3 linked regions of the Lytechinus pictus genome follow. The protein of the gene in region 1 interacts with the protein of each later gene in a biochemical or structural test. Links are inferred from orthologs where the notes say so. Each region holds a gene or a part of one and is shown in the gene's direction. Other genes may lie near its edges. The genes, in order: ADP-ribosylation factor-like protein 2; tubulin-specific chaperone D-like; retinal rod rhodopsin-sensitive cGMP 3',5'-cyclic phosphodiesterase subunit delta-like.

Region 1 (7,626 bases):
GATAACATACGGTTACATATACGGTATCTTATTTACATTGTTAGGTACTGACGATATCTTCATAAATACATTCACAATTATTTCATGAAATGTCACCATTGCCGTGGCTGTGACATTTAAAGCCTGAAAGCTATTACATAAGATATTGTTTGCACTTTGATATAATAGAGGTCAGATATATTCTTGTCATCTAATATAAACATTCCATTATTATGCACCATGTTTCAAAATGGGTAAGAAAATTACATTACCATCAGCATCCAGATATAAATTAGTCCATGATTAGACCAGGGAGATCGGAGTCTACCCCCTTTTTTTGGAATTTCTATTTTCTCAGCACATCGAAGTGAGGAAAAACCACCAAAAACCCTATATTGGTATTAAATGATAACCATTTATTGTAAACAACGTTTAGGACTGGGGGAATTGGGGGAGAGGGTATGGGGAGGGAGAGTATTTCATTTTCCAATAAAATGCAAAATTATAATATTTTCGTGAACATGAACAAATAAACAAAAAGTTAATAGCTCAATATCTTTATTGAATTGTTCAGTAGAACAATAATACTAGCTCTAATATTGTTAAAAACATTTCAGTCATTGTAATTACATGTGTTTCATCAATCTCAATATATTGACAATGAAAATAATTTTTTAATATAGAAAATATATTTTATATGACTATTGTGAATTTTAAATAATCCCATTTTAGATCGTTGATTAAACCACCTTTCTGTAAACAATCACTTTGATATCTCCTGTAAAATCAATTTTAGATAAAAAAATATTTTCTGTTAAAATTGATTTCTAAGATTCCTGTCTGAAAGTTGATGAAACACCTTAGCTCGAGTAAAAATGCATAATACAAAGATATTGAATACTCAAACTAGTGCTGCAAGTCAGGCGCCATGTTCGGGTTCGGTTCGGTTCGGCAAGGTTCGGCAGAAATTTGCCGAACATTGGTTCGGTTCGGGGTTCGGTAATGATAGACTGATAAGCTATAGTTCATTCAGGTATACGTAGCGTACCGGTAGACAATTTGTACTTGATTGACTGCATGTGCTCGCGCGTACCTCTGTCACATCAAACCATTTTATCTCTATCTTGTTGACATGAAACTATGAAAGTTATAGCGCTCAACGAATCAACTGTTATCTCGAATTTGATTATCTGATGACAGATTTATTGGGTAACTCACAGTTCTAAAATTGCGACTCTTCCTAGTCGTCCATACCTGGACCACACTTTGGATACTTGCCAAATTAACTACGCTCGCGATCGCACTCGTACCGTACCCGTACCAGCTAGGCCAGCGCATGCAGTCCCCTTGTAGCGGGACTCTGAGCTCATGAATATTTATATACTATACAGTCTAGTCCGGCCAAACGTGATTGGCAATTGCATCACATACGAGGCGGCCAGCGCCAGTGCATGCAGTGCACTGAACTGTAGGCATAGTAGGGCCAGGGGCGTGTCGAAGAAAGCGTGCTTATGTAATGCGCCTTTCGCTAATTGGCTCGATGGGTGAACTAAACCACCAATCGCATGTCGCTGATTGTCGCATCGGTACATACAGCCACGTGCTTTGTCTGCTCGCGAAACTCAGCTCACTGATTGAAGAGCAATTCCCGAGATTTCTATGATTTCATTGGTCAGATTTCATTCGACCATGAACATACAGACCAAGTGGGATGCAAAGTTTGGACAGGGGGAGTAGAGTGATCATCGAATTGTTTATGGTTAATTTGAGAAGTTGATAAGAAAGGGGAAAAAAGTAAAGATTGGGGGTCATTTCCCCCCAAGAGATGAATGTTTCCGCATGGCTTTATCTTCATTCAACTTGTCAACGAGGGGAAGTGGATCTTGCTATATGCTATACCGTAATCATTCATGAGTGTTTGATTTTTATTTTCATCTGATTGTTAATAATAAAAAAGATAACTTCACCTCATCTCATTTCTATATTATTTGTTTTGCGTCTCTCCTTTTCATCTGTAACAGTCACTCACTTTATTTCCCACTTTCACTGGATCTCTCGTTTTCAAAACTCTTTACTTCTCTCTAAAATCATGAAAACTAGACAGTACTGTAGCGAGCCGACACCTCAATAATAATGTCAATCATCTCAATCAGATCTTTATTCTCCGCGCCGCCGCAACAATACACGAGTTACGATCTTAATCACATCGTATCGTAATTCGTAATATTAATGGTACTTCATCTTTCACTTTCGGTTTATTGAGCTCGTTCATTCAAAATACTTTGAAGATTTTCAAACAAGAATCTTGTTCGCCACCTAAAAACAACAATATTTTAGATAATTAGATTTAACCAATGAACACTCATACAGTTTTGGTTTTCTTTACCATGCTTCGGCGATTCGGCCACAGAGCGAGAGATGATGAAAGCCAGTAAAATGATTATAGCGCAAGCTCGCGCAACATCATTCATCGGATCTCATTTCTTAATCAGGGCCGTAAAAACCACAATGTCAACATGAAAATGAAAACAAAATCTAGTAACCGCAAAATAAGCGCGTACTTCCAACATACAATTGCAAAGAAGATTAAATAGAGAATGCGCAAATATAATGATTAGAAAGGGTGTAAACTTATAAATTTGTTAGCTGAAAGCCGTTTTTTTTTTTTTTTTGCCGAACTTCCGAACCAAGTCTTAGTGTTCGGTTCGGTTCTGTTCGGTTCGGAAGTGCCATGTTCGGCGAACTACCGTTCGGTTCGGCGGTTCGGCTACAGCACTAACTCAAACTCTTATAATGATATTGTCCAGCAAAACAGAAAATTGTCAAATAGTTAATGAAAAATAATTGAATTATAAACCAACAATTAAGTCAAATAGAATATGAAAATTATAACACACAATCACGTCACATTCGTTCTCACTCTCGTAGCTGTAGGATGGGGGGGGGGGGGTTGGGCGTCCGGACACTATATTTTTGAAGCCTTCTTTTTTGTCTTTGCATTACACTAAAAGTATGAATTCAAGGGTTGTAATCATCTTGTTCTCCATAATATTTCCTAATATCTTGTATTAAAAATTGATGAAACTTCGCTTGTAAATTTTTCCAAATGACTTTCTAAAATTGATCGTCCGGACACACTACCTGTCCATACAACTGGGTAGACTCATGCTAGTCTAGAAGCACTCCCACACTCCAGACAAAGTGTCACAAGTACATGAATTCTCGTAAGCACACAGAAAATACAACTTATAATATGCTCTAATAAAATGTACTGCCTTTCAGGGTTCAAACATCCTACAAATACACTCTTTTAGAACATCAAATGATTCTATTAAAAAACAAAGTTAATTTACAGGACATTAATATACATGTATGAAGTCTGCGCCAAGCATCTAATCATAAGGCAGTCTACCAGGAAATTCATCTATCGCGGGGGCAACGCAGAATTCAGTACAGACAAGTATACATGTACATTATAAATACGCTGTGCACTGTACTCTATGCAAATACAATTTATGAAAGCGGCCTTCGGCCTTGCGTAACCAGATGAAAACCACATGTTTTGCTTAGACTTCGGACACTGCCTGCCGAAGTGCCGATATCATCCGAACATGCGCCCGAAATCTACACGCTGGCATCTTTACAGAGTGTTGTGCTCCGTGAGTCAGCCGATCGCGCGGTGTAAAGATTCTCACACACAGCGCTGGGCGAGGAAGGGAAGAGGGTCGCGCGATCAGCCAATCAGCGTGCAGGGAATCCGTCTACTGTGTGCCTATGGGGAAAGTTCTATGTGCCTGGGTTAACCCTGAACATGATCATATTGCTCATCTCACTATATATATAGACAGCTGGCAGCCGTCTGTTTCGAGGAGTTTTTTAACATTTTTTTATTTTTTAAATTTCTCCTCATACACAGACGGCTTGCTATCGTGCAGCCACCATTAGGGGACTTACAATGCAAAATCCCCCCGTCGGGGCTCTTAAATTTTTGTCTTTAATGAATCAAACTTTTGAAAATTAACGCGACCGAAATGCAAATTAATATTCCCTCTTGGGCTTGGCATTAATTGCCAAAAAACGGGGAAAATCAAGTTAAATGGAACAAAAACAGTGACTTACCTCGGCTGTCGCGCAACTTCACTGCCCTGTTTTATCCGAACTTAATACACATAAACATATGCCATGGCCATCATGGCCATTGGCATTGAGTCCCCTGTACAGATCGCGCTAGAACTTCGGTCTCTGTATTTGGTGAGTGAAGCCAACGGAGTTCAGCTGAACAACTAACATAATAGAGACCGAAGCTTTTGGTCTAATCTCACTAATAAAATCTCGAATGACGTAGACCGCGATCACACCACTGCACACTCATCCTACGAACGAGGACGAGGTTATAAAATATAAATCTACTAAGTTCTGCACAAGATTAGCCTAGCTCATCGACTGTAAAGTCAAACAACACACACAATCTAATTTATGGGACATCACAAAATAATTTTGTGCAACAAACTGAATTACACTGGGCTAAATATGCATTAGAGAACGGTTCAAAATATCATTAGTGTTATAAAAAGTAATCAAGGTACATACATCATCATTCTGATTCACATCAGTCGTGGAATTTTTGGTCTTGATCTTCTTTTTCATGTTTTTCGTCTTCATTTCTGCTCACGTGTAGTCAATGTGGATGACGTCATTAACAATATGAATATTCATTTCTTCAAATTGTGTGCAACTACTGCCGCTGCAAGCAAGAAGAGCTTTTGACTCGCTTTTGTTTTTGAGAGATAATCACTGGGAATGGGATTGCTAACAATTCTAAAGAAGATGAGACAGAAGGAGAAGGAGATGCGAATCCTCATGCTGTATCCTTTATTAAGTAATATAAATAAGGTAGATTTATATTGGTCTGGATTTTAGGTCTAATGAGTTAGGGGGCCTTCCTCCAAAATAACGTTTGAATTCCAGCTCGGTCCCATTCATTTGATTTAACAGGGGTGAGTTAGGTCTAACTTCCTATTAAACTAAGTTAGACTAGAGTCACTCATACTGACTTTTAAAGTATGTTTAAAATCATTAATCATCTTATCTACATCAGAGCTCCTTGTTGTTGTTGTTGTTGTGCTCCTTTCCTCTTCTTTGAAACCCAATTGGGTAATGCTTTTGACTGTTGAGCAAGACTGAGTTCAGCAAATAATTTTTTTTCATTTAAAACTAAAAACAAGCCCTGTCAAAAACTCAAAAGGCCATTAATGAATATGAATTATATCATACCAATCTTACTGAAGTGTAGAGGCCATAGTTAAATCTTCCAACTGTCTACTGATATTCTCTGAATCTGAGGAAATTTGAAATAGATCTAGACTTCACCTAGACCAAAAAGCTTCGGTCTTTTATTGGTTGTTCCGCTGAACAGCTACGTTGGCTCCACTCACCTAATACATAGACCGAAGTTCTAACTCCATCTGTACAGGGACTCAATAGCCATATGTTTATGTATAAGTTCGGATAAACCAGGGAAGTGGAGTTGCACGACAGCCGAAGTAAGTCACTGTTTTTCCCCCCTTTTTTAAGTTCATTTTTCCCGTTTTGGTGCATTTCAGGCCAAAACGGAATAATAATCTTTATTTTGGCCCAGTTCTTTTTACATATTTTTATGAAATAAAGACAAAAATTGATGTGCCCCATCGGGGGGGATTTTGCATTGTTTACCCCCTAATGGCGGCTGCAAGATCGCGAGCCGTCTGTGTACGAGGAGAAATTAAAAATTAAAAATGTTTAAACACTCCTGGAAACAGACGGCTGCCAGCTGTCTAGACTTCACCTATTAAAAAAAAAATCAAATGTTTCACTTTCAACAGTAGAGTAGGATATCCCAGACAATATCAAGTCAACTTTTTTCAACTTTGATATAATAATCAACACTTTGATTGTGGGCATCAACAGAAAGACAAGACAAGACAAATCTGAAATATCTGGTGCCCTTTCTCTGTATTTTTTTCTCATAAAGATGGGTCTTTCAGCACTTATCATATTAATTTGATTATTGAATATTTGAAAGCAATAATCATAGTCACAGAAATATATCACAGAGTTTCTGCTCATTCCATGCTTTGGAAGAGGTTTCATGTTTTAGCTATTAATGAATTGGGGATTTACCGAAACTAAAGACAGGCTTTGACCATGATAATTATTGCTCATGTAAGATGGTTATTTTGTCATTTTCTTATTTTGCTTATTTCCTTTAACTTGTGTCAGGGCGCGACAAACCCGCTTGCCCGGGGCAAGTGAAAATGACGGGCGGGCAAGCATTTCTCAAAGTCAATTGCCCGATCGGGCAAGTGGTTGTTTTGAAAATAAAATAATAAAATGTCAGTGATAATCACAACTGTCCATGCTATCTCTCATATATTGTCAAACCAGTCAAAAAACAGTGGAAACTGATGTAAAATCAGCGCCAAATACAGATAATTTATCGCCAGGTACCTCGTTCGAAGAACCGTGCCATCTCATCTTACGTTCTATGTGCGCATGCGCTACTATCTTGCTACTATCCAAAAAAAAAAAAAAAAAAAGGCAAACGTGGCTAAAATTTCACATTTTTAATCTTTAAATACATGAAATGGACGTCTATTTTCCATATTACCTTGAGATTGTTTTGATATAGTTGGAAACAACCGAAAAAATGAAGAATATTCAGCTCTTTCTTGACTCTGATTTTGATGATGTTACACTCGGTAAATGTTTTTTCTTATTGTTGTCCCACATGTAGACTTTCATGGTGTTGAACAAGTGTTAATGTTGCAACACCATGAAAGTCTACATGTGGGACCACAATATAAAAAAATATTGACCGAGTGTAACATCATAATACGATGATGAAAAGACAAGAGAGAGGTGAATATTCTTAATTTTCTTGATAGTTTCCAACAAAATCAAAACAATTTCAAGGAAATATGGAAAATAATTGGCATGGATTTAAAGATGCAAAATGTGAAATTTTAGCCACTCCAGTTGGTGAAGGCCTTTTTTTTCTTTTCTTTTTTACATCATAAAACGATTTTTTCCAGAATCAAGAAAGAGCTGAATATTCTTCATTTTCTTAATAGTTTCCAACTAAATCAAAACAATTCCCAGGAAATGTGGCAAACAGATGACCATTCATGGATTTAAAGATGCAAAATATGAAATTTTAGCAACTTTTGGGGAAGTTTTTTTTTTTTTTTTAAACTTTTTTATACCTTTAACGCCCATTTAGATCTACTAGTACTATAGCAAAAGTTTTTTTCTTCAAAATAAACGTAATGACTCAGGCCTACTTTGCTGAAAATATACTTATAATTATAAATGTGTGTTCTTTACTGTACATGATTCTCAATTGTTTTTATTTTATATGACCTTCATAAATAATAATAGTACCGTCGTAAAAAAGAACGAAAGAAAATAATAAAACAAATTGGGCAAGCAGTTTTTTCTATCGGGCAAGCAAATATTTTCATCACTTGCCCGACAGGGCAAGTGATGAAAAAAAAATTTGTAGAGGCCTGTTGTGTTTTTTCAGCTGTTTTACATTTCTGTTCAGTCTAGACTTGAGTTCATTTCCATTTGTTTGCAGCACCGCCCTTGCAATTTGAACTTATTTGAGTT
Region 2 (7,382 bases), on another chromosome or scaffold:
AGACAACAAAAGCAGAGAAAAAGACAACCAAATAAAGAATGTGTGGCCAAAAGTGTGATTTTGGAGGGCTTTGGCATACCTGCCAACCATTCCGATTTTGGCGGAATTATACTGATTTTTCGACCTCCATTCCAAATTTTAAAACCAAAATTCTGATTTTTGGGTTAATCAATATAGTGTTGAAATTATTGAAACGGCTGTATAATGCGACTAACGCATGCACGGCTGTAAGATGCGACTAACGCATAAACGACTGGAGCGCACGGCTAGGCAAATGCGCTAGCTACACGATATACACAGAGAGCGACTTTAAACGGCGCGCGAACACTGCTAAGTGCGCAGTTCCATTGCAAATACATGTGAAAATTAACAAGCATACACGCAATGGCAGCACTTAGGGCGCTACATTTTGAGGTGTTGTCGTTAGCGTTGACTTCCGGAAAAAAATGGCGGCTGACATTGGCTAGCGAAAGAGCCAATTTTTAGTGAGGACATGTTTTCATAATCCACGAACATCGGAAAAACCGTGAAAGAGTAACCTTTTTAGACCCCTTGTTTCCTAACTACGATGTTAAGAATCACCGATGGTGATATTTTTGACGCGAAACAAGGTGATTTAGGTAAGAAAATTTCACTTTTTATTTGAGGTTTTTGCCCATGTCGCCGGATGATTTTGTAGTGTGGGAGTGAGTTAGTGATGTATCGTACATATCTAGAGTGTGTTGGTGATTACAGTGGTATATCGCTGAGTCTGCTGATGATATGAACGGCAGGTCGTTGAACACCGGCCCCCGCCCGGCCGCGTACCGACGCAATTAAGTTAGATCTATCCCTACGCAATTTTAACATTGATCTGTACTTTATTTTTCGAATAATTGTCAATTTTTTGAGGAAGAAAGATGATAAACTTTCGATCTCGGGTTGAGCCTTCAGAGCCGAACGCCAAATCTACTTTACTTGCTTCGCTTGCCTAAACCATGCCTGAACTCCCGGCGCCCGCCCAGTGGCTGCGCCTCAGCCTCCCCGTCTTATACCAGCGCTCCGTTTTTTTCATGGTTGAAAATCTGCTTTCTTCTACCAACAAGCACTTATCAAATGTAGGTTATCATTAGTTATGATATAACCTTGTCCTCAGTCAGTAACCCCTGTGTGGTGAAATAACATGAATAAGACAATGTCAATGTTTGGCTTATTTTCTCTTGATGCATGATTGATAGGCTGGATAATAAATGTTTGATTTTTTGGCTTGTCAGTTTTTAATACAGTAGGGATAACTTATCTAAATTCATCATAAAATCTTGTAATTATTTTTTTTGTCTAATTGAAAATAGAATGTGTGGAGATGAAGATCTGCATCAATCTCACTTTCCACCAATAGAGGGCCTCACAAAAATATGCTCAAAATCAAAGTTTTTAGAGAGCTCTGATGAACAAGAAAAATTATCCCTAAGTCTATATAGATATATCACACCTGAATGAAACTGGGTGGTTTATGTCACAAAAGTGATATTTTAAAGACCTTTTTTAAATTTTTAATTGATAAATAAAGGTAGACTCTACATGTAGGTCATCCTCTGATGTGGTAATGAGGGTAAATTTGCTTTAAAAAGTGTAGGGAAATGCTACTTTTACATGCTGAAAATGCAAAGAGTCCCTATACCGTTGGAGCGGACCGGACACCCGCTCGGTGCCCTCGGAACTTTGATACTGATTTTTTATTATCAAAGGTTGGCAGGTATGCTTTGGCGGCCATTTCGGAAATTGGCCAAGCACACTTTTTTCTTGGACCCGAGACAAAAAATATCATTTCATGTTCAGATAAATTTCAAGGAATAAAAAAAAACTCCATACTAAAATGACCAAAAAGTATTTTTGACACATGTATAGCCCACTCCTATTATCATAGGAATGGTGTATTATGTGAGTAATTATTCAACAGTTGTTTTTGTCTCACCTGCATAGCAGAGTGAGACTATAGGCGCCGCTTTTCCGACGGCGGCGGCGGCGTCAACACCAAATCTTAACCTGAGGTTAAGTTTTTGAAATGACAGCATAACTTAGAAAGTATATGGACCTAGTTCATGAAACTTGGCCATAAGGTTAATCAAGTATTACTGAACATCCTGCCTGAGTTTCATGTCACATGACCAAGGTCAAAGGTCATTTAGGGTCAATGAACTTAGACCATGTTGGGGGAATCAACATCAAAATCTTAACCTAAGGTTAAGTTTTTGAAATGTCATCATAACTTAGAAAATATATGGACCTAGTTCATGAAACTTATACATAAGGTTAATCAAGTATCACTGAACGTCCTGCATGAGTTTCACATCACATGACCAAGGTCAAAGGTCATTTAGGGTCAATGAACTTTGGCCGAATTGGGGGTATCTGTTGAATTACCATCATAACTTTGAAAGTTTATGGATCTGATTCATGAAACTTGGACATAATAGTAATCAAGTATTACTGAACATCCTGTGCAAGTTTCAGGTCACATGATCAAGGTCAAAGGTCATTTAGGGTCAATGAACTTTGGCCAAATTGGGGTATTTGTTGAATTACAGCCATAAATTTGAAAGTGTGTTGGTCTAGTTCATAAAACTTGGACATAATAGTAATCAAGTATCACTGAACATCCTGTGCGAGTTTCAGGTCACATGATCAAGGTCAAAGGTCATGTAAGGTCAAAGAACTTTGGCCACGTTGGGGGTATTTGTTGAATTGCCATCATATCTCTATAAGTGTATTGGTCTAGTTCATAAAACGTGGAAATAAGAGTAACCAAGTATCACTGAACATCTTGTGCGAGTTATAGTAGTTTTCAAAATCAGCACTGCTGCTATATTGAATCGCGTGATGCAGGTGAGACGGCCAGAGGCATTCCACTTGTTGAAAGTCAGCACTGCTGAGCTCGCATAATGCAGGCGAGACTACCAGAGGTGTTTCACTTGTTAAGGTCAGTGACATGGAAAAGTCTTCTGATGTGTACACCAGCAGAATTTGATGGAACTGCCCTATAAAATTGCCTAAGTGTGATTGCCATTTACATTGTATGGTGTCATATCTTTTAGTTTTGGTGTCATATCTTATCTTGAGTAGATTTTAACAGAGTTTGTTCATGAATATCTGGCACATTTCCCTGAATAGTAATAATATGCAGCATTTATATAGCGCTTTATACATTGTTTCTAAGTGCTGCATGCTATTACCCTAGCTTAAAGGGATGGTCCGGGCTGAAAGTATTTATAGCTTAATAAATAGAGTAGAATTCACTGACCAAAATGCCGAAAATTTCATCAAAATCGGATTACAAATTACAAAGTTATTGAATTTTAAAGTTTAGCAATATTTTGTGAAAACAGTCGTCATGAATATTCATTAGGTGGGCTGATGATGTCACATCCCCTCTTGTTCTTTTGTATATTATTATATGAAATTAGGTTTATTCAATTTTTTTTCCTCCAAGAACTAGAATTTTGGATTGACAACTGATTTAGTGCATTATATATTGATTGCTGCAACTTATTTCATTATAAGGGAGACATATTTTTCACACAACTATGAAATAATGAAAATATTATGATTTTATGTAATAACATAAGAAATCGGAAAGTGGAGATGTGACATCATCAGCCCACCTAATGAATATTCATGACGACTTTTCACAAAATATTGCTAAACTTTAAACTTCAATAACTTTGTAATTTGTTATCCGATTTTGCTCAGTGAATTCTACTCTATGTATTAAGATATAATTATTTTCAGCCCGGACCATCCCTTTAAGCATGGCTACTCTAATCAGGCGTTCTAAGAAATTTAAAGAAATTTCTTCCTTCTGGATACCCATTTACTACATCTGGGTGGAGAATGGCAATTGTAGATAAACGCCTTGCCAAAGTACGCTAGTGCTGCGGTGGGATTCAAACCCTGGACCTTGTGGTTCAGAGTCCGGAGATGTATCCGCTCACTGAGCCAGAACACCACTTTCATTCCTACTTTCAGTGAATAGCCACTTTCACTGAGCTACTCTTGTCTGTCGCTCAAGCATGCACGGAATTCCTTCCTACCACGTACCCATTTACTACACCTGGTTCCCGTTGCATATAAGTTACTATTGTAATAACTTTGCCATCCAGTGGTGACTACCATAATATTAACGCTAATCAACGGCCAGTCAAAATCAAGGATTTCAGGAAAGTTGGCATTGTATAGCAGAGTTACCATAATAGTATTTTTTATGCAACAGGACCCTGGATGGAGAGTGGGAAATGTATATAAACACCTTGCCAAAGTGTGCAAGTATTGTGGCAGGATTGGAACCCTGGATCTTGTGGTTCAGAGTCCAGAGACTAATCCACTGAGCCAGAACAACACTTTCTTTCCTACTTTCAGTGATAGTGGATGAATACCAGGAGCAGCCTCATTTACTGGACCCGTACCTAGAGGAGATGGTCCTGGACTTCCTCTCCATTGGTAGAGATATGAATGTCGACAGGAAGCTCTCTCATCTTGCCTTCAAATTCCTCTATCTACTCACAAAGGTAACGATCCATCCAGATATTAGATGAGCAGAATAGGATCATGATTCATAAAACTCTTTGTAAAATTACAATGAATATCTAGATTATAATCTATAATGTGACCCCCAGAATTCTCTTGACTATTTAACATAGTGTGATTTTATATATTAAGAAAAATAATATACTTTCTTTTGCTATCAAATGTATTCATATTAACAAGGGTTGACAGTAGTAAAGAATGTTTACAATACAATTGAAAATATATCACATTAAGCTTACCATAATTCAAATTTTTATAAAGTGATTCATAACAATGCAAACAACATGAACAAACAGCTGGTCTGAGCTAATATTTAAGTTATGAGCATTCATAGAAAAATAATTATTCTTGCACCACCATATATTTCTCATTTATCCCTGCCCATTATTATATGATATGCCCTTATGTGATTCGTAGGTATGCCTTTATATTTGTAGTGGAAATTTGAATGTGAAAGTTATTACTGCTATTTTTCTTCATATTCTTGATCAGAAGTTGAATATTTTGGTTATTCCCAATGTATAATCTTCGTAAAGAAACCTTCCTTTTATGGCTTACATAAATGTATTTTTATTGAATTTACAGTCCGTGTGGTAAAAATAATATTCATGCAGGGTTCCATTGTATACTGTAGTTACTGTTCATAGTAATAATGCCTTCCAGTGGTAAGTACCATGATAGTAGTAAACAACAGCCAATCAAACAAGAGGATTCCTTGGAAGTTACTATTGGATGGCAAAGTTTTCACAATGGAAAAAAACCGTGTCAGTTTTGGAAATTGGAATGATTTGGCATTTACAATTAGTCAGTCTCCATCACTACCTGTTTTCAGAAAGGCACTAAAATATTTTAAAAACCCATCTCTTTTATAGAAGCCTGTAGTTTAAAGATGATATACATGTAGTTCCATGCATTGTATGCATTGGATTCATTGTATAAAGCGCTCTTAGCCTAACAGAAAAAGCACATTATAATGATGACAACAATAACGGGGCCCAGAATATACACTGTATTCTTTTCCTGGTCAATTGCCCATGTGTATTGCATGAATAAATCACCTTTCTTTGCAGGCCCGTGGACCAAAGGTCATCGTGAGGCTGTTACCCCATGAGGTCGTGGATCTGGAACCCACCCTAGCTCTTCTTAGTGCTCAAGATCCTAATGATTATGAGGTATTATTAGTGAAAGTATTTTTACGATAATTGTCAGAATTATATGGTGACGGTTATTGATGCTTCAGCTTGGGGCTTTCTTCATGAATATACATGCATATTTTTGTACCAAGTCTATATAGCTAAATTACAGTATCAACTTAATCCATTGGAAAACGTACCTGTCAAGTCAAGTAAAGCGACAAGCGACAAGAAATCATTAATATCTGATTGTTAATTTCATAATCAATTATAGAAAAGGTACTTAAACCAAGTTATCAGTTATGAGAGATGCTTTGAAATCAAGCTTAATACTATTTGAGTTGTAGTAGAATGTTGATCCATTAAGTATCACCATGTTTGCATACAAATCCAGAATTTATGTATTCTGTCATAGTGACATATTTGTCTCTCGGCATATAGGTTTCTTTTTTGGAGAAACATCTCCCTAAAACTGGATTGGGCTTTAGGTGACCTTCATGTACCATCCAAAACATTAACATTATTGTTTAAGATTGAATACCTCTTTCTCTGATTTCTTTTATTATTTGAATGGAATTTGAAAATATTCATCTTTTCTATGAAAATTACTAAGCAAAATCCAGATTTAAAAGTGTTATATTTGCGTATTATGTAGGTAACTGACCATCGTGTAATGATTAGCACATCCACTTTTTTAATTCCAGACCTGGGAGTCTCGTTACATGCTGTTACTGTGGATGTCTATGATATGCATGATACCATTTGATATGTCCAGACTGGACAGTGGTGTGGCCGGAGCAGGTGACCAACAGATCAAGAATCTACCTACTATGGACAGGATACTCAATGTGGCAAAGGTCAGTATTAAAAGAGAATGAAATCTGGTATGAGCAGAGAGCAAAGAGAGAATACTTTTAATTATTTCCGTCAGAATTATTCTTGGAATGAGAAAGTAATTATAGTCACATAAGTATCAATTTACTTTCTTTAGTGATTTTAGATTGGCAATGTTGCTTCAAAATGATGGGTATGGCTTTAGAAATCTCAATATGTTTTGTACACAAAATTATGCAATATCTTTCAAAATGCAGCTTGTCTCCTTAGCTCAGGATATATTAATCTTGATGCATGCTTCCTTTGATTTCAGATGATGTACATTTGACATTTGTGAAAACAAATCCATGTTATGCATGCTTTTGCACAAGACTCGGACAAGGGAGATGCATGCTGAATTGTATAGAAGATAATTATGTTGACTTGCAAATCGAACAGTTCTCTTTGTTAGTGGGTGGCAACGTTTCAAGTTAAATCAATGTTTTTGAATTATGATAAACCGTATACCATTAATCAATCCCCTGTGTTTGAAGATGATACAATATGTTCATTTCATTTAATATTTGCTGTTGTTTTTTTCTAAAGGTATATCTTGGGATGAGCGATAAATGTCGAGACGCTGCTGCTTTTTTGGTTTCAAGGTAAGATGTCATAGAGTGGTAGAAAGTGGTTATTTAGAATAAGAATGAAATAAACATGCTGCCCTTTGATTTTAACATTAATTTTGTAAATCAGCTGTGAACAAAAACCTAATGTCATGAATGACAATCAACAAGTGATTTCACATATTTCATATCAAGATTTTTAAAAAGTAAATGAAGGGATTGATTGCAAAATAGGGTGCTATTCGGA
Region 3 (7,063 bases), on another chromosome or scaffold:
TCTTTATTCCGAAGGTTCGAGTATTCCGAACGTTCGTAATTCCGACGGTTCGTAATTCCGAAGGTTCGTAATTTCGAAGGTTCGTTAGTCCGAAAACGAAATAAGGTTCGTAATTCCGAAGGTTCGTTACTCCGAAAACGAAATGATGTTCGTAATTCCGAAGGTTCGTTAGTCCGAAAACGAAATGAGGTTCGTTAATCCGAAAATGTTAAGAAAAAGACAAAAAAGGGGTCTTTATCACCCCTATTCTGGTAGAAACAATCAACCCCCCCCCCCCGCAGAGCGATTAAAAAAATTGGGTTTATAAGTGGTAAACATTTTAATCAAGAATGGATCTTTTAATAGACATTTTCAACTTTGACAAAACAATTTAAAAATGTATCAACGCGCCCCTATCGATATTTGATTTGATAACTTCTATCTGCTCTCATACTGGTTTTCGTTAATAGGTTAATAGTAGTTTTCTCTTTGAATGCATTTATATTTTATTTGTTTGATGTTCTGTAGTCTGTGTTTTAAGTTGTACTTATCGTAAACATGCTCAGTTTGATCCTTGCGCCTTTGTATCATGTACCTTTATTTACGTTTAAATTGGATAAATAAAATGAATAATCAAATAAATTTGCAGGTCTAGCAATGAGAGAAAACATGAACTATAGCCTCATAAGCCTATGATCATCCCTTTCAGAGAATTCTGCGTACGTAAACGCCCCTGATAACGATTGATCAACCCCTTCCCCCAGGGGCGGTGAAAGCGGGTGGGGGGCACAGGGGGCACTTGCACCCCCAAAAAAAAACTAACAATAATAAACCCCGTAGGAACGAAATACTATTTTTCCAAAATGGGAAATTCCCTTGTATTTTCCAAAATAAAATGTGCCGTTTTTTTTTATGAAATACCCTTTTTAAAGTATACATTTTTCATTTTAGATTAGAAAATCCCAATTTTTTGGTCATTGTTATCATTCATTGTTTAGTGAGGTACTCACCATTTTCGGTTATAAAAAGGCTTAGAATGTCCAGTTTGCAAACTAAAATATCTTATTAGCTCGCGCTTCGCACTCGCATTATTCGATGTATCCTATTCATGAGTCACTAAACGCATGTCCTTAATTAACAGGTTCCTTTTCTGGTCATTATTCGGCTGGCACTTCGCGCTCGTGTTAATTCTTCAGTTAGATGCACATCTTTTTAATGATTGCAAAAACTGCTCAGAATGTTTTATTTTCATTTCTTATTGAAATGTCCAAAAGTTTGAGCTTGCGATTTACGCTCGCAACACCTTTCAAGGATGCCCTATTGACAGTTGACAAAAATACGAGCTTTACAACATCAGCTTTGAAAACTTTTCCAAACCGCTCGCTTGTTACACTCTCTCGCGAAAAATAAAGCCTAAATATATATCTTACCATAATCAGAAATCTCTTTAAAAAAGGCTTTGCTCTACTTTGCTCCGCCGTTCTTCTTTTTGCCTCCACATCCTCATAACAATTGAACAGCAACGGTGTTCCCCCCCCCCCCTCCACCACGCTTATACTCTTCTTTGGAATAAAGAACATTATTTTGTTTTCGGATTATCGAACCTTCGAAAAACGATTAACCTTATTTCGTTTTCGGATTAACGAACCTTATTTCGTTTTCGGATTATCGAACCTTCGGAACAACGAACCTTATTTCGTTTTCAGATGAACGAACCTTCGGAATAACGAATCTTATTTCGTTTTCGGACTAACGAACCTTCGGAAGTACGAATCTTCGGAATAACGCTACAAATTTTCGGATTAACGAACCCTTTTTCGTTTTCGGATTAACGAACATCGAGGTATAGGCAATTTACGTGTTTCGGAATTACGATTCTTCGGAATAACGAACCTTCGGAATAAAGAATCTTCGGAATTACGAAGTGTAACCACTATATTCATAGCAGATCAGGGCCCGTTGCAGAAAGAGTTGCAATCAATCGCAACTCTAAAAATCATGCGCAACTTGATTTTCAACCAATCAACAGCGCGCATTTGGGACTTGCGATGGGCTTGCGATTGATTATTTGACTTGCGTTTGAACGCAACTCTTTCTGCAACGGACCCCTGGTTCTATTTTAAATCCTTTAAAATTTAGAGAATATAAAGATTGCAACACTATTTTTAAGTGTTTTTTTTTATTACAAAAAGGATAGGCCTATATCCCATTAAACTATTAAGAAAAAACAGCCAAAATAAACAAACAAAAGAAAAGTAAAAAAATAATAACAAAATAAATAAACCTCTGTGAGTAAAATATATAAATTAACACTACAATCCTATATCAAAGCACTCTAAATTGCATGGATCAAGAGTGGATCAAGAGTGACTTTCACTTTATCATTATTATTATTGTTATTATTATCATTGGTAGTAGTAGTAGTAGTATAATGATAATAATAATAATAATAATGATAATGATATTATTATTAGTTATTATTATCATTATCATCATTATTATCATCATCATTATTATTATCCTCTCTCCGCCTGACCTGGAGCATTCTGCGCCAGACAGACCCACAGCTCAAATGACTATATCTTTTCCATGTCACTCTCATGTCTAGCTTTCTGCACCATAGAGAGTTGTGCTGCACATGGGCGGAAATCCCAGGGGGACAGGGGGCGCTTCCCCCTACCATTTGGAAAGGGGGCACCCAATATCAAATGTCCCCCCTATTATTTGTGGACTTTTTAAATTATGTCTACCACCCCTGTGAAATGTAACAACGAATTATACGACTGGGGAAGTTAAAGAAAAGAAAATATGAAAATTATTGCGATTGTAACATTGAATTCCCGTAGCCATAGACTCAGGTCAGCAACAATGAAGGGAGTTTTCCTAGCCCGAACAGTATTCACCGTTAGCCTATATTGTCTTCTGCTTTGATGGGAAAACGAAATGCTTGTTTTTCAAACGATCAGTCGAATTCGTGCAACTTTTCTCGGCCAATGCATGCATCATTCATATTTTACGCATAAGGTCTCATTATGAAAGAGGAAAAGGTGGATATTTCCGAATAGATAGCAGTAAAAGCAGTAAAAAAAGAAAAAATTCACCCAAAATCGTAATCTGCTCGTGCAAATGAAAATGTGGTATAGCATCATTTTCTATCGTTCTAACTCACTCATGCGAGCATTATGAACGTTAAGATGGGTCTAAAAATTCAAAGAAGATCGAAAGCATAATATTTCCATTCATGTACATTTTATGAAGCAAATTTATGATCATGATAGGAAAAACTTTAAACTGAATCACGGTTTCCTTTTTTTCTGGGACGCACTGTATACAGGGGCCGCGGAAACGGGGGGCTGCGGGGGCCGGGGGCTTCAGATTTTTTTTTTCAAAAACCGTGTACAAAAACGTAAAAATTACCATCTGATTATGATTTTTTGCATGGTCAGCCCCCCCCCCCACTTTCACAACCGTTCCGCGGCCCCTTGTATATCAGGTACGGATCGAGGATTCTCCGAAAGCCTGGGGGCATTTTGTACAGGAAAATTTTGACAACCAAAAAAAAGGTCTTCACTACCAAATCAATCGCGATTGACCATTGACCAGTCTTTCAAAACCACCCTTTTTCTTAAAAATCGGTGTTTTTGATCCTGCGGCCCGTGTCCAAAACTGAAAAAAAAACCACCCCTTTATACGCGTTTGTTTTTGGTCACGCATGTGTACAGTAGTATTTGACTCCCCCCCCCCCCCCCCCGGGGGAGGAGGAGGAGGAGGAAGATCCCAGTTACAATAATCCACTCTATATAGTTTTTTTAGTATTTAGAACGAGCGACATCTACTGGCGCAATTTTAAGTATCAATTCACCCTGTTTACACACAGAAACATAATCCCATGTAGCAGGTTTGGATACTAAATCCCAATGTATTTAGAAATTATATTGGGTTTTATTCAATAAAAAAATATCTGACGATCATTTTCTCAAAAAATTTTACCTCATAATTGGGAAAATTATAAATAAAACGAAAACGATCCAAGCGGAATGATATAGTTTAGAGTGATGCGGCTGTTACCGGGTGACATTAACGCTGCAGAAAGCTAGCTGCTAACTTCATACAATCTGAATCCCGAAATACGTAGACTTGTGTACAAAGTAATGGATTAAACTTAGAGATTGTTTTACCTATAGCAGCTAGCAAAAAGGAAGTATGCAATGCATGAAATAAGGGATGGAGTTGAGCATCGACCGGTCGACTACCATCAATATCAAGTCTACGTTTTATTCAATTTGGTACAAGGATATGGGCCACTGTGAATAACCAACTGTGCTTTTTGGAACGATCTTACAGAAAAACAGTGTTGATACCAATTGAAGAAAACACTTGTATAGATCTACATCTACGTCGTTTAAGTTTTCGTTGTTGCCTGATCGAGACGACGAGAGGACCCCCGTGGATTGAGCTTCGACCCGACCTGTGGCTGTGCCGTCTGCCGAGCCTGCGCCTGCGTGGTGGCCCGAATTCACCGGCCCATTGACATCCTATTGCGGAATTTGGAAGACGTATTTTTGGATCTTGAATGTTATTTTCAGTTTGAGATAAATTGCAACGAACCCTTAGTCAAAATGCCTAGTAGAGCAGAAGATATTTTAAAAGGTTTCAAAGTGTATCCTTTTCCAAATCACATACTCACGGGACTAGCTAACCCAGGGAGCTCCGGCCCGCGCAGCAGGCCGGAGCCCAGGGGCTTACCGTGTAATTCGCCATACCCCACGGTACTAGTAGCGTGAGGTATGGTCTAAATCATTTTAAGAGTAAATAGTTAAAACAGAAATTAAGCACTTACCACGATTATATGGATGAAGGTCTAACGAGTGGCAGCTTCCTGACATCGAGGCACAGACTGGAACCTCAAAAAACGAAAAGTTCTGTCGCGGTAGCTCTCCTTCTTTCAGAATTCAAAACAAAATGGCCGATCGAGACCGAGGCTATAGCACTAGCGCATATAGACTTTGTCAAATTCGCGCATGCGCCCTACACCCTCGGTACCGGTCTCGAACAGCCATTTTGCTATGAATTCTGAAAGAAGGAAAGCTACCGTGACAGAACTTTTCGTTTTTTGAGGTTCCAGTCTGTCACTCTGTGCCTAGATGTCAGGAAGCTGCCACTCGTTAGACCTTCATCCATATAATCGTGGTAAGTGCTTAATTTCTGTTTTAACTATTTACTCTTAAAATGATTTAGACCATACCTCACGCTACTACCGTGGGGTATGGCGAATTACTCGGTAAGCCCCTGGGCTCTATGGTCTAAATATTTCTCCAAATGAATTGTGAAAACAGAAATTATGCACTTAGGCCTACCACGATTATATGGATGAAGGTCTAACGAGTGGCAGTTTCCTGACAACGAGGCACAGACTGGAACTTCAAAAAAACGAAAAGTTCTCTCCTTCAACCCCAGTCTCGATCGGCCATTTTGTTACGATTCATAACAAAAATGGCTGATTGAGACGGGGGTAGAAGGAGAGAACTTTTCGTTTTTTTGAAGTTCCAGTCTGTGCCTCGTTGTCAGGAAACTGCCACTCGTTAGACCTTCATCCATATAATCGTGGTAGGCCTACATGTAAGTGCATAATTTCTGTTTTCACAATTCATTTGGAGAAATATTTAGACCATAAATCACGCTAGTCCCGTGAGTATGGTCAAATACACGGTAAGCTCCCTGGGTTAAGTCAGAATCAGATTGGGCGTGGGGGGGGGGGGGCCATTTTTTTGGGTAAGAGTTCCATAGCACCCCCACTATAATTGAAAATAAAAACATGGAGAAGGTTCAGAATAATATATCTAGCCCTAAATATAGAACATAGATCTATGTGATGAGGGAGTGGAAATACATACCAAAATATGGCTTTATTCCGTCAAATTTCGAGCAGGATCTAGTGCGTGTAATTGTCCATAGACATCGGTTTATTTAGTCAGTAAGGGTCTGTGAGTCGAGACTAGTCGAACTATCGTTTGATAATCGTTAAAATACCACTTCCGGTATCGGCGCTTCTCACTAGCATAGCGGGAACGGTCTTGACTGCAAATAAAACGAGGTGAGTCCCAACTAAGGAAAGCAACAGTAAAAAAATGATAGAAAAATCTGAAGTGAACAAACCAGAAGTCTCAACAATCTTGTTATTTTTGGTGGGGGTGCATATGAACTCTTTCTTTTTTTTCCTATGAATTTTAACACTTTTTATCGTTCAGTACTACAGATACATGTAAGCCATTTTATAATCTTTTTATTAGGCGACTATTCTAGACTTGACTTGTAAGTTGTACTAGATCTAGGTATTTCATTCCAAGTCTTGTGTAGATTTAGACAGCTGGCAGCCGTCTGTTTCAAGGAGTTTTTTTAACATTAAAAAAAATTCTCCTCGTACTCAGATGGCTCGCGATCGTGCAGCCACATTTAGGGGGTTAACAATGCAAAATACCCCTGACGGGGCTCATCAATTTTTGTCTTTATTTCATAAAAATATATAAAAAGAACTGGACCAAAATAAAGATTATTTTTACTTTTTGGCCAGAAATGCACCAAATCAGGGAAAAATAAACTTAAAAGGGGAAAAAAGTGACTCGGCTGTAGTGCAACTCCCGCTTCCCTGGTTCATCAGAACTTAATACATAAACATATGGCCATTGAGTCCCTGTACAGATCGAGTTAGAACTTCGGTCTCTGTAATTGGTGAGTGGAGCCAACGGAGTTCAGCGGAACAACCAATACAGTATGACAGAGACCGTAGCGTTTGGTCTAGCCTAGATTCTAATCTAGATCTGACTAGGCCTAAGTTAGATCTACTATCTAGGGCTAGGCCTAGATCTAGATTTTTTATCAAAAAATTGAAAATATTTCATTAGACCCACTCATTCAATGAACAAGGGTATGATATAATTATAACCTTGTTCTGTTTTTAGTACTCCATGTGTGGCAAAATAAGGTTGGCAATGTTTGGTTTATTTTCTCTTTTTCTTTGGAACAAATGCTTGATTGTTTGACACTGTCTGATTCCATTGCAGCTAATCATCATGATCATATAACT

Evidence for each region.
Region 2: the proteins of ADP-ribosylation factor-like protein 2 (region 1) and tubulin-specific chaperone D-like form a complex in vitro, tested with the Homo sapiens proteins (2 studies listed by BioGRID and IntAct). The link is inferred for Lytechinus pictus from reciprocal best matches to the Homo sapiens genes ARL2 and TBCD.
Region 3: the proteins of ADP-ribosylation factor-like protein 2 (region 1) and retinal rod rhodopsin-sensitive cGMP 3',5'-cyclic phosphodiesterase subunit delta-like are reported together in a solved structure, tested with the Homo sapiens proteins (2 studies listed by BioGRID and IntAct, with this or other methods). The link is inferred for Lytechinus pictus from reciprocal best matches to the Homo sapiens genes ARL2 and PDE6D.

Annotation. Positions count from the first base shown.
Region 1 is NC_087251.1:47,611,142-47,618,767, forward strand, and holds the start of ADP-ribosylation factor-like protein 2, read left to right. Parts: upstream 1-4,523; 5' UTR 4,524-4,569; coding exon of another isoform or gene 4,570-4,641; 5' UTR 4,642-4,779; coding exon 4,780-4,844; intron 4,845-7,626. Other genes in the region: CCAAT/enhancer-binding protein zeta-like, read right to left, coding at 4,570-4,641. UniProt on the Homo sapiens protein: Small GTP-binding protein which cycles between an inactive GDP-bound and an active GTP-bound form, and the rate of cycling is regulated by guanine nucleotide exchange factors (GEF) and GTPase-activating proteins (GAP).
Region 2 is NC_087254.1:25,699,618-25,706,999, forward strand, and holds the start of tubulin-specific chaperone D-like, read left to right. Parts: upstream 1-4,313; 5' UTR 4,314-4,451; coding exon 4,452-4,544; intron 4,545-5,633; coding exon 5,634-5,735; intron 5,736-6,400; coding exon 6,401-6,553; intron 6,554-7,115; coding exon 7,116-7,171; intron 7,172-7,382.
Region 3 is NC_087258.1:10,978,807-10,985,869, forward strand, and holds the start of retinal rod rhodopsin-sensitive cGMP 3',5'-cyclic phosphodiesterase subunit delta-like, read left to right. Parts: upstream 1-4,044; 5' UTR 4,045-4,598; coding exon 4,599-4,639; intron 4,640-7,063. UniProt on the Homo sapiens protein: Promotes the release of prenylated target proteins from cellular membranes. Modulates the activity of prenylated or palmitoylated Ras family members by regulating their subcellular location.